Nothobranchius furzeri: one gene and its partners. The protein of the gene in region 1 binds, or shares a complex with, the protein of each later gene. Links are inferred from orthologs where the notes say so. Each region holds a gene or a part of one and is shown in the gene's direction. Other genes may lie near its edges.

The links.
Region 2: smarcd1 (region 1) and dpf3 share a complex: the UniProt entries of both Homo sapiens proteins name them as parts of the BAF complex. The link is inferred for Nothobranchius furzeri from reciprocal best matches to the Homo sapiens genes SMARCD1 and DPF3.
Region 3: smarcd1 (region 1) and phf10 share a complex: the UniProt entries of both Homo sapiens proteins name them as parts of the neural progenitors-specific chromatin remodeling complex. The link is inferred for Nothobranchius furzeri from reciprocal best matches to the Homo sapiens genes SMARCD1 and PHF10.

The regions. Positions count from the first base shown.
Region 1 is NC_091743.1:58,853,253-58,856,907, reverse strand, and holds part of smarcd1 (SWI/SNF-related matrix-associated actin-dependent regulator of chromatin subfamily D member 1), read left to right. Parts: intron 1-2,445; coding exon 2,446-2,621; intron 2,622-3,239; coding exon 3,240-3,282; intron 3,283-3,391; coding exon 3,392-3,514; intron 3,515-3,655. UniProt on the Homo sapiens protein: Involved in transcriptional activation and repression of select genes by chromatin remodeling (alteration of DNA-nucleosome topology).
Region 2 is NC_091742.1:25,607,041-25,610,795, forward strand, and holds the start of dpf3 (zinc finger protein DPF3), read left to right. Parts: upstream 1-1,228; 5' UTR 1,229-1,343; coding exon 1,344-1,375; intron 1,376-3,755. UniProt on the Homo sapiens protein: Belongs to the neuron-specific chromatin remodeling complex (nBAF complex).
Region 3 is NC_091749.1:34,751,515-34,755,269, reverse strand, and holds the start of phf10 (PHD finger protein 10), read left to right. Parts: upstream 1-1,423; 5' UTR 1,424-1,633; coding exon 1,634-1,705; intron 1,706-2,605; coding exon 2,606-2,712; intron 2,713-2,860; coding exon 2,861-2,991; intron 2,992-3,247; coding exon 3,248-3,331; intron 3,332-3,411; coding exon 3,412-3,536; intron 3,537-3,632; coding exon 3,633-3,755. Other genes in the region: rab4a (ras-related protein Rab-4A), read right to left, coding at 222-302, 962-977. UniProt on the Homo sapiens protein: Involved in transcription activity regulation by chromatin remodeling. Belongs to the neural progenitors-specific chromatin remodeling complex (npBAF complex) and is required for the proliferation of neural progenitors.

The DNA.
Region 1 (3,655 bases):
TCCGTTGCCGGGAGACGAAGGGGCAAAACAGGAAAATAATCTAGTAGTGGACGGACGTTGTTCCGGGTCTTCGGTATTTGGTGGAGATGTTAGTGAAGGCGGAGAAGAGGGCGAACTAGAGGAAAAACAGGCAGATTCCTCCTCTATTTACAAACTCCTGGGGATGCAACAAGTGGGCGCGGTGCGTCGACTTCCGGATCTGACGTCGACAAATTTTTAGAATCGAGCCGTCGACTTCGTCGAGGCTTCGCTACAGCCCTACGCAAAATGACGCAACTTTTCCGCTCGGAGCCGTGCGGACCTCGCGGACGCGTCAAGCATAAACCAACCTTAAGGGAGAGCCCAGACTCTCTGTGAAGGAAACTCATTTTAGGGTTGGGCATCGTTTATTTTGAACGATTCCGGTTTCAATTCCTTGTTTCAATTCCGGTTCCTATCGATTCCCGATTCCGATTCTTTCAAAACATGACATGTTTTACATGAACCAGATAACCACAGGTCCTACTTGATGAAATAATCTTAACTTCAACATGAATTTTAATTCAATGAACAATAACATCACCTTCATTTAGACAGAAACATGTTTTGGAGAAAAAAAGAAAAAGACTTGCAGCACAACCAGTGTGTTTGTTTCTGACCACAACCAAAGTCTGGAAGAAGCCTCTGGGATGAAAGGCTAAATGTCTCCAACATATCCAGAAACGTCCAGCTGTTTTCAGCTAAAACTCTCAGGATGATCATGTCCAGGATGACTGAGAACTACACCTCCATGCTGCAGCAGCATTCAGTCAGAACAGAATGTAAAACTTAAACGTAGCCGCTGTCAGTGACAGATTTTAAACATTAAAACTCTCAACAGAAATGGTTCAGAAAGGAAATTAAAATGTTCACAGCTTTGTGTGTGATTTATTATTATTATTATTATTATTTATTGTGGCAGAAGCTGGTGTGGTCCACCACAGAGAAGCTTCTCTACCATGATGACATTAATTATTCTACAGTTCAGCCTTCTGACGCTCACACACACACACACACACACGTGTTGAGTGGCTGCGTCTGACTGCTGATGCTCCGTGTGTGTTTTTATTTCTGCTCTGAGACAAACTCACCTCACACCATCCAGAGTTTGTTCTTTAAAGCTTTTATTAAATCCACCATGTTGACGTATTTTAACAAGTGTCCTCTAAGCTGCAGGAGTTAAAGTTTACATTAGGGAGTAAAAGTTCGGCAGACGCGTTTGTTTATATTTGGCCGCTGCGTGCCAGGTGAGGGGAGGGGGGACTCGGTGCTGCACACAGACAGCTGGTGTCATCAGCTCTGAAAAGCGTTGATCACAATCTGCAGATCACGTTTATTTTTCACGGAGATCGGCCGCGGATTCCTCTTCTGGTCGGCATTCTAGGAATCAAAACTAGGCATCGAAAAAAAAAACCTTTACGATTCCGGTAAAAAAGAACAGTTGGGACTGGTTCCAATCAATGCTCGATGCTCAAACCTAACTCATTTCAGTTGCCTGTATTTGCGATTTCATTCTTTCGGTCACTACCCAAAGCTCGTGACCATAGATAGGGTGAGAACATAGATCGATAGGTAACACCACAACAGACTGGTACAACGCCTGCATCATTGCAAATGAATGAATAGTGTATCGATCAAATTAAAATATGGCTTGTTGGAAATTTGTTCTGATTGTCCGGCGTTGAAAAGCAGTCACGTTTTTACAAAATACACAAAAACTGAATGAATGTTTAAAAAAGTTATGTTCTAAAAACTTACCCGGACACACTAAAGGGCACTAAAGGTAATAAATATCTGCTTCTTTACTGATATCCAGTCTTAATCTTAATTTCTTAATCTTAATTTCTGGTAATGATGTAAACCAATATTCTGGGAAAATTCAAATAGTTTTAGGTAACCCAATGTCACATGTCTCTTATCATACATACTTCCACCTAAAACATTGTCTGTGCCAAATATGACAACTACTTTAATGTAAATTAAGCAATGGAAGAAACGTTAATGAGATAATCCCTGAGATAATCCTGACAAACACCCACTTGACTGGACAGATTTCTTCTTCTTCAAAAGTTGTACCAAACAAAAACACATCAAAACTTTTTCCTGGACCTTTCATATTTGAGTGAGAGAAGCAGCAGAAGAGTGTGATGTATAATACGGTATAGTGTGTAAAAGTTGGTTATTAAGAGGAGGAAACGATCATTAATATTGCGAATGTCGGACATTGCTAAATACAAGTTAAGTTGGTTTATGGGTCACCTTATAACAGACGTTTGTGGAAACCATTAAATATTTTTAACATCTACAAACTCTTTCCACTCCGGATTAAATGGTTGCGAAGCATAATTTTCCATTCTAGTGAAACGAAAGCATTTTTGTTATTAGAAGTAATTTTAATGAGTTTTCTTTGCTGTTTTTTCTCTGCAGAGACCCGGTATGCCTCCATCTAGCCGCATGACACCACAGGGACCAGCAATGGGGCCACCTGGGTACGGCGGGAGCCCCGTGTCTCGTCCTGGGATGCCCGGGGTGATGGACCCTTCCAGAAAAAGGCCGGCCCCCCAGCAGATTCAGCAAGTTCAGCAGCAGAATCGCAACCAGCAGTGAGTCACGCGCAGCCAGAGCTTAGGTTTTATTATGTCCACTGGAGCATCACTGGTCATTTTTACCCATTTCAGCCTGTAGAAAAGCAAAACACATGTTGAAATGAGTTCAGAGGTTTTTATAGTTCTGTTCTTGCTTCTGGTCTTTTTTTAAACGATAAGTAACCCAGCTGAAACTTCTTTTTCCATTTGGTCAAATCACATCTTCACAGTAAAAATTGACTAAAAAAACACAAGTATTTTAAATGTAATTGTAAAAAAAGATTTGATAAATCAAACATCGGTATTTCATTTATATTTAATAAGCTGAACTTTCAGCAGATTTTTTTAAAGGAGAAAAGTCGTATAACTTTGCCGTAATTAATTATCTTTATGATGTATCTGTAGGATTTGATTTAGGACCAACAGGATTATTAACCCAGATCACGATGTCTGAGTTAGTAACTGGAATATGGTGGTAATGAGATTTGTTTGTGTGGTGACGGTGCGTTTGTGTGACTTTACACCAGTTTTGAAGGCTGTAGAAGTCTACGTAAAGGGCTTTCCTGCCTTCTGTTTTTATGGACACGTTTGTAAAGATTTAAACTTAATTTATCTTTTATAACTTTTTTTTTAAAGCACAAAGAAGAAGAAGATGGCTGATAAAATTCTACCTCAGAGGGTGAGTGTTAGACTGCAGCGCATGGAAATGATACTGAATCTAATCACCCACGCCATGATTAGAACTTCCTGTAATTGTGTTTTGTTGCACATCTGTTGGTGTGTTTTAGATCAGGGAACTGGTCCCAGAGTCTCAGGCTTACATGGATCTGCTGGCGTTTGAGAGGAAGCTGGATCAGACCATTATGCGTAAGAGGCTGGACATTCAGGAGGCCCTCAAGAGACCCATTAAGGTTTCACCTGTTGCACTTTTTCATACATTAACTTGACTTAAAAACCTCTTCAATCTTGGTCATCAAATAAGACGTTCATTAAACTTGTTTACATGTCAGATTGTATGGTGAGTTTTTATTTTTTTCACTGTGATCTGTATG
Region 2 (3,755 bases), on another chromosome or scaffold:
ATCACGCTTTCTGTTCACGACGTGATTACTTGTTAGCTAAGTTAGCAACGTTAGCATTAGAGCTAGCGACACGTTTGCTAATGTAGCTGGACTTCAAAAACGTTGCATACAACAAAGGTTTAAAACAGCAAATTAATCCTAGTGACGATGAACAAACATAATTCAGAATAAAGTACTAATTATGACTTAATTTTTAAACTCTCTTGAGCTACTTGGTTTACGGTAATGCGGCATTCGATGTACCTCGGAAAAAGGAAAATGCTACTTGTACTGACGCGTTCAATGGGCAAGTCGTTCCGTGGGCAAAGTGAGACAAAACTGTTTGTACTTCAGGTTTAATATTTTACTTTATCAAAAGTCATCAAAGTATTTAAGGTTGCTCAATAATTAAGCAGACAAATATGAAAGAGCGAATGCTGACTTACCAACTGTTCACAAACGCAACGTCACGTCATTTTACATAGTCCCGCCTTTCGAACTTATCATTGGTAAATTTTTTCAACAACAATTTTCGGACGTAAGATACGTTCATTGGTTGCTGCATTTAAGATCATGTGGGACATTTGAATTTTCAATCAACAATAAACAAAAATCACTGAAAAGCCGAAACAATTATCAATACGGTAATTATAATTTTGATTTGTCATCCACCATGTTCTACTTTAATACGAAAATCCATATTAATCTGAAAAGTAAGAGAAAATAATATTGAAATTGTATAAATAATAGTTTTACTATATTGTTGCGCTTTTATTGATTTGAAAATAATCTTCAATTAAAGTAACTGAGCATTTATTTTTAACAGCTGAGCACAAGAAACAACTCTGAGCCCGTCACGTGGTTCCAAGAAACAATAATTGTGCGTTGAAGGCTACATTTAATTCCGGTGGACATTAAATGTAGCATACGCGTCCTCTACGAAATGATTAATGATGTTGAACATTAAAAACAAACAAATCACAGAAATTAATAACTTTGATCACGAACTTCGTGATTTATACCCATTGGTAGTATGTAATGTAAATTAGGACAAATAATGCTCAAATGTTCAAACAAAAAGATAAAAAATTGTAGAAATATTAAGAACATCTGGTAATGGCGTACAACTCATAAACTTTTAGACAGCTGTTTTATAACTAAATCTAATTATTTGAGTGGAATGATTCCAGTGCAGAGTATGTTGACATATTTCACTGAAGCCACGCCTCATGTGTTGATGCTTCTGTTGTATTAGAAAGAGCAGAGGACCGCATTGGCTGTCGTTTTTTCCTTTTTTCTTTTTTTTAAGAAGGGTCCCAAACTGCACACAGATTTGGAATATTGCATTACAGTTCTGCAGAAAGATGGCGACTGTCATTCATAATCCATTAAAATCGTAAGTGTATTTCTTTTATCCTTTTTTAAATCTTAGTCGAGCAGCTGCAGACACAACGGTTCCTTTTCCATGTGTTTTTTTAATGATAGGAATCATAAACGCAGCCTTTCATCTGCACTCGGACTGTCTGTTATAATCAGGTATCGCTGCGCGCTGTTGTGCAAAGATCCTCACATAAAAGCATGCACGTTGTAGAAAAAAAGCACACTCTTTAGACATCCAGTCTCGTTGTGCAGTTGGTTTCGCATATGAAGAAAGTTTCACGCAAAAAAGAAGCGACTGGTAAAAGTTTGCATCGGGGAATCCCTAATAGCGATGAAAATTTTGATGCAAATGACATCACAACTGGCGCGCGCACGGGCACTTATTTCAAATGCGTGCACAGTATACTCACAGGAGCAGATTAAAACACGGCCGTGCATGTAGAGGAAATCTGCACCAATATTAAACACATATTGTCAGAAAATGGCAACACAACCATATTGTATGATTTGGAAATCTATAAGTCTTAATTTGCTTTTTCTCCCCTCTAGAAAAGGTTGCCATGTGTCATGTGTCTCAGTGATAGCTCGTGTGTGTGTAAGAATTCTAGGTTTTGTTATAGGAACCGTAATCCAATTCTGCGCCACTTCTTTTAAAACCTTCAGCATGACCTTTCTGGGTAAATGTGTTCCAAATAATACACGTTGTTATCTAAAGCTCTTTGTTGGAAAAAAAGGGAAAAAATGCTTTAAGCTGTTGTTTTCCATCAAAACAGATTAGGATGTAGTGAGTGTACGCGTTAGCTTTTGTTTGCGGTTGTGCCTGTCAAGCAGGAGATTAACAGTGTCCCAGTATTCTCCTGTGGGTCTATCTGTTAAGAGAAAGGCACAAGTTAGGAGCTGATGAAGGAGTACGGATGGGGGTCCCCATCTGTTATTTGTGTGCATCAGATCTAATATTTGCAGAAAAAGATAAGCACTTTTTAAGTCAAAGTATTAAAATACATTTAGAATTGACTTTACATTTTTAAGGGGTATTTTAGCAACTTTAAAGTGTTTTTTTGTTATAAATATATCCGTCTTACTCAATGTAAAAGTCTTCCGAAACAATCTCAGTTTAGAGAAATTACATTCTTCAGGACTGATGTGAGGGTGGCTTGCCAACTCCGGGTCGGGAGAGAGGTCCTACCTCAAGTGGAGGAGTTTAAGTATCTCAGGGTCTTGTTCACGAGTGAGGGTAGGAGGGATCGGGAGATCGACAGGCGGATTGGTTCGGCGTCTGCAGTGATGCGGACGCTGAGCCGATCTGTCGTGGTGAAGAGGGAGCTGAGCCAGAAAGCCAGGCTCTCGATTTACCGGTCCATCTACGTCCCAATCCTCACCTATGGTCATGAGCTTTGGGTAATGACCGAAAGAACGAGATCGCGGATACAAGCGGCCGAAATGAGTTTCCTCCGTAGGGTGGCCGGGCTCAGCCTTAGAGATAGGGTGAGGAGCTCGGACATTCGGGAGGGACTCGGAGTAGAACCGCTGCTCCTCCGGATCGAAAGGAGTCAGTTGAGGTGGTTTGGGCATCTGGTCAGGATGCCTCCTGGACGCCTCCCTGGGGAGGTGTTTCGGGCATGTCCTGCCGGCAGGAGTTCCCCGGGTCGACCCAGGACACGTTGGAGAGGTTAAATCTCCAATCTGGTCCGGGAACGCCTTGGGGTCCTGCCGGAGGAGCTGGTGGAGGTGGCCGGGGAGAGGACGGTCTGGAGCTCCCTAGTTGGGATGCTGCCCCCGCAACCCGGACCTGGATAAGCAGAGGAAGACGATGACGACGAGGATGATGAATCGAGTGGCCCATGGTGGCGGTGAGGTTATGGGCAGGCATATGTTATGGAAAACAAGTACAGGTGCATTTTATTGATGGGATATTGAACACACAGCGATACCGTGATGAGATCCTGAAGCTCAATGTTGCGCAGTTCAACCACGGCCATCAACTCATTTTGCAGCATGATAATGCACGGCTCCGTCTAGCAAGGTTCTGTGCACAGTTCCTGAAAGATGAAAAGATCCCAGTTCTTGCTTGACTGGATGTGCCACCCATCAAGCACATTTGTATACAACCAGTTCTTGACAAAATTTAGCAACCTTGAACAGCTATTGAAGTGGGGTGGACCAACAATTCACAGGCCACATTCAACAACCTGATCAACTCCAACGGAGATGTGTTGAACTGCATGAGGCACATGGTGACTACACCAAATACTGACTGTTTTTTTTATATTGCTTTCTTAAGTAACTGTATTATACAAAATTAACTGTAATGTGATGTTGATAAAATAATGTTGCTCGACTTGCTATAAAATATCAAAGATTGAATCTTGGATATAAAGCAGCAGTGTGTAGTCTCC
Region 3 (3,755 bases), on another chromosome or scaffold:
GTGTGCGTGAGTGAGTGTGTAGTCCGCCTAATGCAAATTAAATCTAAATTTAGAAATCAAAACCACTGTTCCATACAAACTACACCAACACTAAATAAAACACAGCCAATGTGGATTTTTCTCAAAACAATAAATGATCAACCTGAATAATTAGCCAGGCATTTAGATGATCAATCACAAAAAAAAAAATGTGAAAGAAGTGGAAATAATAGAGAACTTACATCTTTTCTCTATGAACTGGTGCAGCAGACAGGATTTTCCTGTCCCAGCATTCCCAATTACCAGGAATTTAAACAGGAAATCTACAAGGGGAACAATACAATCATTTAATAGACATAAGCTCAGCTTGACCCTCTTAATGTGGCATTCATAGGCACTAGCTCATCTTAATCCTAATCTTATTTGAATCAAGATTATTTTATAACTGAGATATAAACCAGCTGATATATATTACACATGAATACCTGATGGTTTGTTTATAAAGGCAGGGACACCTGCTTACTAACCACAGGTTTGTTCATTGTGTTTATGGTGTAAACAACTCATTTTGTATGCTGCAATAATATTTTACTGTGAGATTTAGAATGATCCAAATGTAAAATATACACATAAAGAGAGCATTAAATGGTTATTTATTTAAAAAGTTGAACAGTTCAGCCTCAAATTTATGCCAGCCCTGTCCTCCTCTTTACCCCTACCTGGTATCTAGCGGTTCTTCTGATTAGAATCCCAAAAGCTCCGTTACATTCAGTGTGAAAAGCTACATCAAACCCAGATGTATGATCTGAGTTGACTGACAGCTCTGCTTTAAGGCCAGAAGCCTTGAGTGGTGAAACGGTTAGCCTGTCGGCTATCTTTTTGCGATGAGAAAACGCCTTCTGGGCACACCTGCCTCGTCTTTACCACTGACTACCAGAAGGCACCCGTTAACTGTTGCCTCGGTTTAAAGCAGACTCCTTACCGTAAGACTCCGACATCGCCAATGTGGCGGTTTGATTCCAAAAGCAAAATGAAGGGAGGAATAAAAGTTGACAGATGCACAGCTAGCTCAGTAAAGGAATACACCAGTGATAATTTCCGTGCATTCCAGCTGATTTTTCCTTCCGACTTCCCGTAGGTTCTTCCTTTCAAAGTAAAAGTCCTTCCATGACCGACACTGTGATGCACTATATAGTTTTCGCCTCACTATGGAGCTGTTATTAAGTCTCCAGAAACGTTAAAATCATGATTTATTATAGATGTAAAAAATAATCACAAATAAGAAACATCCACATTGTAATAATTAGTGACCAGATATATTACTTATTATTGTTGTCAACTTGAAGGATTATACGTGCAAGTATTGACCAGTAGGCGGCAGTAGTGGTCACTGTGATTGGCTGACTGCAGCTAGACAACTATTTTAAAAATTGTTCTGCTGTGATAACCTTGCGTTAAAGGACCAAAACCGATTTCACATGATTTTAATACATGATCGGAATATTTGGTATTTAAAAGTAAAACGTTTTTCACCTCTATCACCGATCCAGGCCAGGAGAGTTCGCTTTCTAAACCGAAGGCTTTACCATAGAAGAAGAAACGCAGACTCAAGCTAGTGAACTAGCCTAGCTGCGGAACATTATTTTGTCGAAATATGGCTACTGTGCTCCCCATTAGACCACCTTGCGATAGTAATCCTGCCACCCCAGGAGCGCAATCTTTAAAGGTGACATTCACACTCCTTAAACTGCTTCATGCTTCAGCCTGTGTCCACGAATGACCCCGTTAGCCGTATTAGCGTCCATTCTTTGTTTTCATGTGTGCTCAGTTTATTCAATTTACCTTTCAGTTGTTGAAAAGTCGCCTGTGTAATTTGACTCGTATAAAAACGAAACGTAACCTCAAAATGCATTATTTGCTAATTTCTCTATTTTAAGTTCTACTTTTATTTTATATCTAATGAAACTTATACTTGTTTTTCCTAAAATAACACGTTTTGTACACGTGAGTTGTTTACAGGTAATGAATTATTATATCACTCATAAATCATGTTTTGCAGTGGCTCATTTAAAATAAAAAATGTATGAAGTAACCCTGAACTGGCAAACAACACACGAGTCTTTTAATCCTACCTTGTCAGGGAAATGGTCTTGTCTAATATGTACAGTAGTTTCTATAAACTTTCATTTTTTAGAAGTGATGCTCAAGCCAGAGGGTTTGAACCCTATTATTCTAGAGGTTAATGCCTCTAAAGTTGATGATGCAGCTGTATTGCATTTCAGGTTTTGGTTGCCCTCCATTCATTTTCACTGATTTGGGTACAGAGGAAACACTCAAGTCTTTTGTAAACAACTACTTTCATGGTCCTTTGTCAGGTTTTTCCAGGATAGATTTATATTTCTTAAGCACTGTGACTTTCAGGAATAGTTTACCTGATGTATACATCTCTTGAAACCTGACAATTTTTTAAATATTTAATCACCTCTTATTCTGCTGTTACATGACTGGGCAGAAAATGTGTAAAAAGCAGCAAAAGTTGAAATAAATTAGAACTTTTGATAAAGATAAAAACATTCAGCATGTTTTTTTTTTTTATTTTAATGAAGAGCTTTTTTCCTGTTTTTAGGAGGATGTAATAGAGGAAGTGTCCAATGATGGCAGCCAACCTAAGAGAAGGAGAATGGGTTCGGGGGACAGCTCTCGAAGTTGCGATACCTTCAATCAAGAGCTTGGGTAAGAGGGTGCTTTAATCTAGTTTTTACCGTCATGTTTTACACAATATTGTTAAATTTAAAACACACTTTACTTGTCAAACTTTCCCAGGTGTTGTACTCTAGAATGTGCAATTTTATTCCTAAAGTGGATTTTTTTTTTTGTTCAGGCCAACATATTTCCCAGCAGAAAACCTGACGGAGTACAAGTGGCCTGCTGATGAAACAGGAGAATATTACATGCTGCAGGAGCAGGTCAGCGAGTATCTGGGAGTGACGTCATTCAAGAGGAAGTATCCTGGTGAGGCTGAGAGGATCCTTGTGTTCAAGCTGGAATTCTGTTCCTTTTTTCAAAATGATTTTGTATGAATGCATTTGTTCAAGTAAAACTTCAAAATAATATTTGTGATAAGCTGTTGTAGAGGAGCTATTGTGCTTTTTGATTATATAAACAAGGGGCAAAGTGGCTCAGACTCCATGTTAGATCTATTTTTATGAAGCTGCACTCATTTTTTTTTATTATGATTTAGTTTATTTCTTATCTATGATTTTTTTAGACATGGAAAGGAGAGACTTGTCCCACAAGGAGAAGCTCTATCTTCGTGAGCAGAATGTCATCACGGAGACACAATGCACTCTGGGTAAGGAATAATATCTCTTAACTTTACATGCACACTTAGTCTCACTTCATTTTTTTATCCTGCTGCATTCATGTCTGCAGGCCTCACAGCTCTGCGGAGTGATGAAGTGATCGATCTAATGATAAAAGAGTATCCCACCAAACACTCAGAGTATTCAGTCATTCTGCAGGAAAGGGAGCGACAGAGAATAGCTAAAGAGTACTCTGTAAGTGAGGAATAAACAGGATGTCTGGTATGGTTGCTTTGATAAATATTTTTTAAAATGGTCTTAATTCTTGTATTGTTTTCTGTCATGTTTTAGCAAATGCAGCAGCAGAACCCTCAGAAGGTGGAGGCAAGTAAAGTTCCTGAGTACATAAAGGAGGCAGCGAAAAAAGCTGCAGAGTTCAACAGTAACTTCAACAGGGAGCGAATGGAGGAGCGG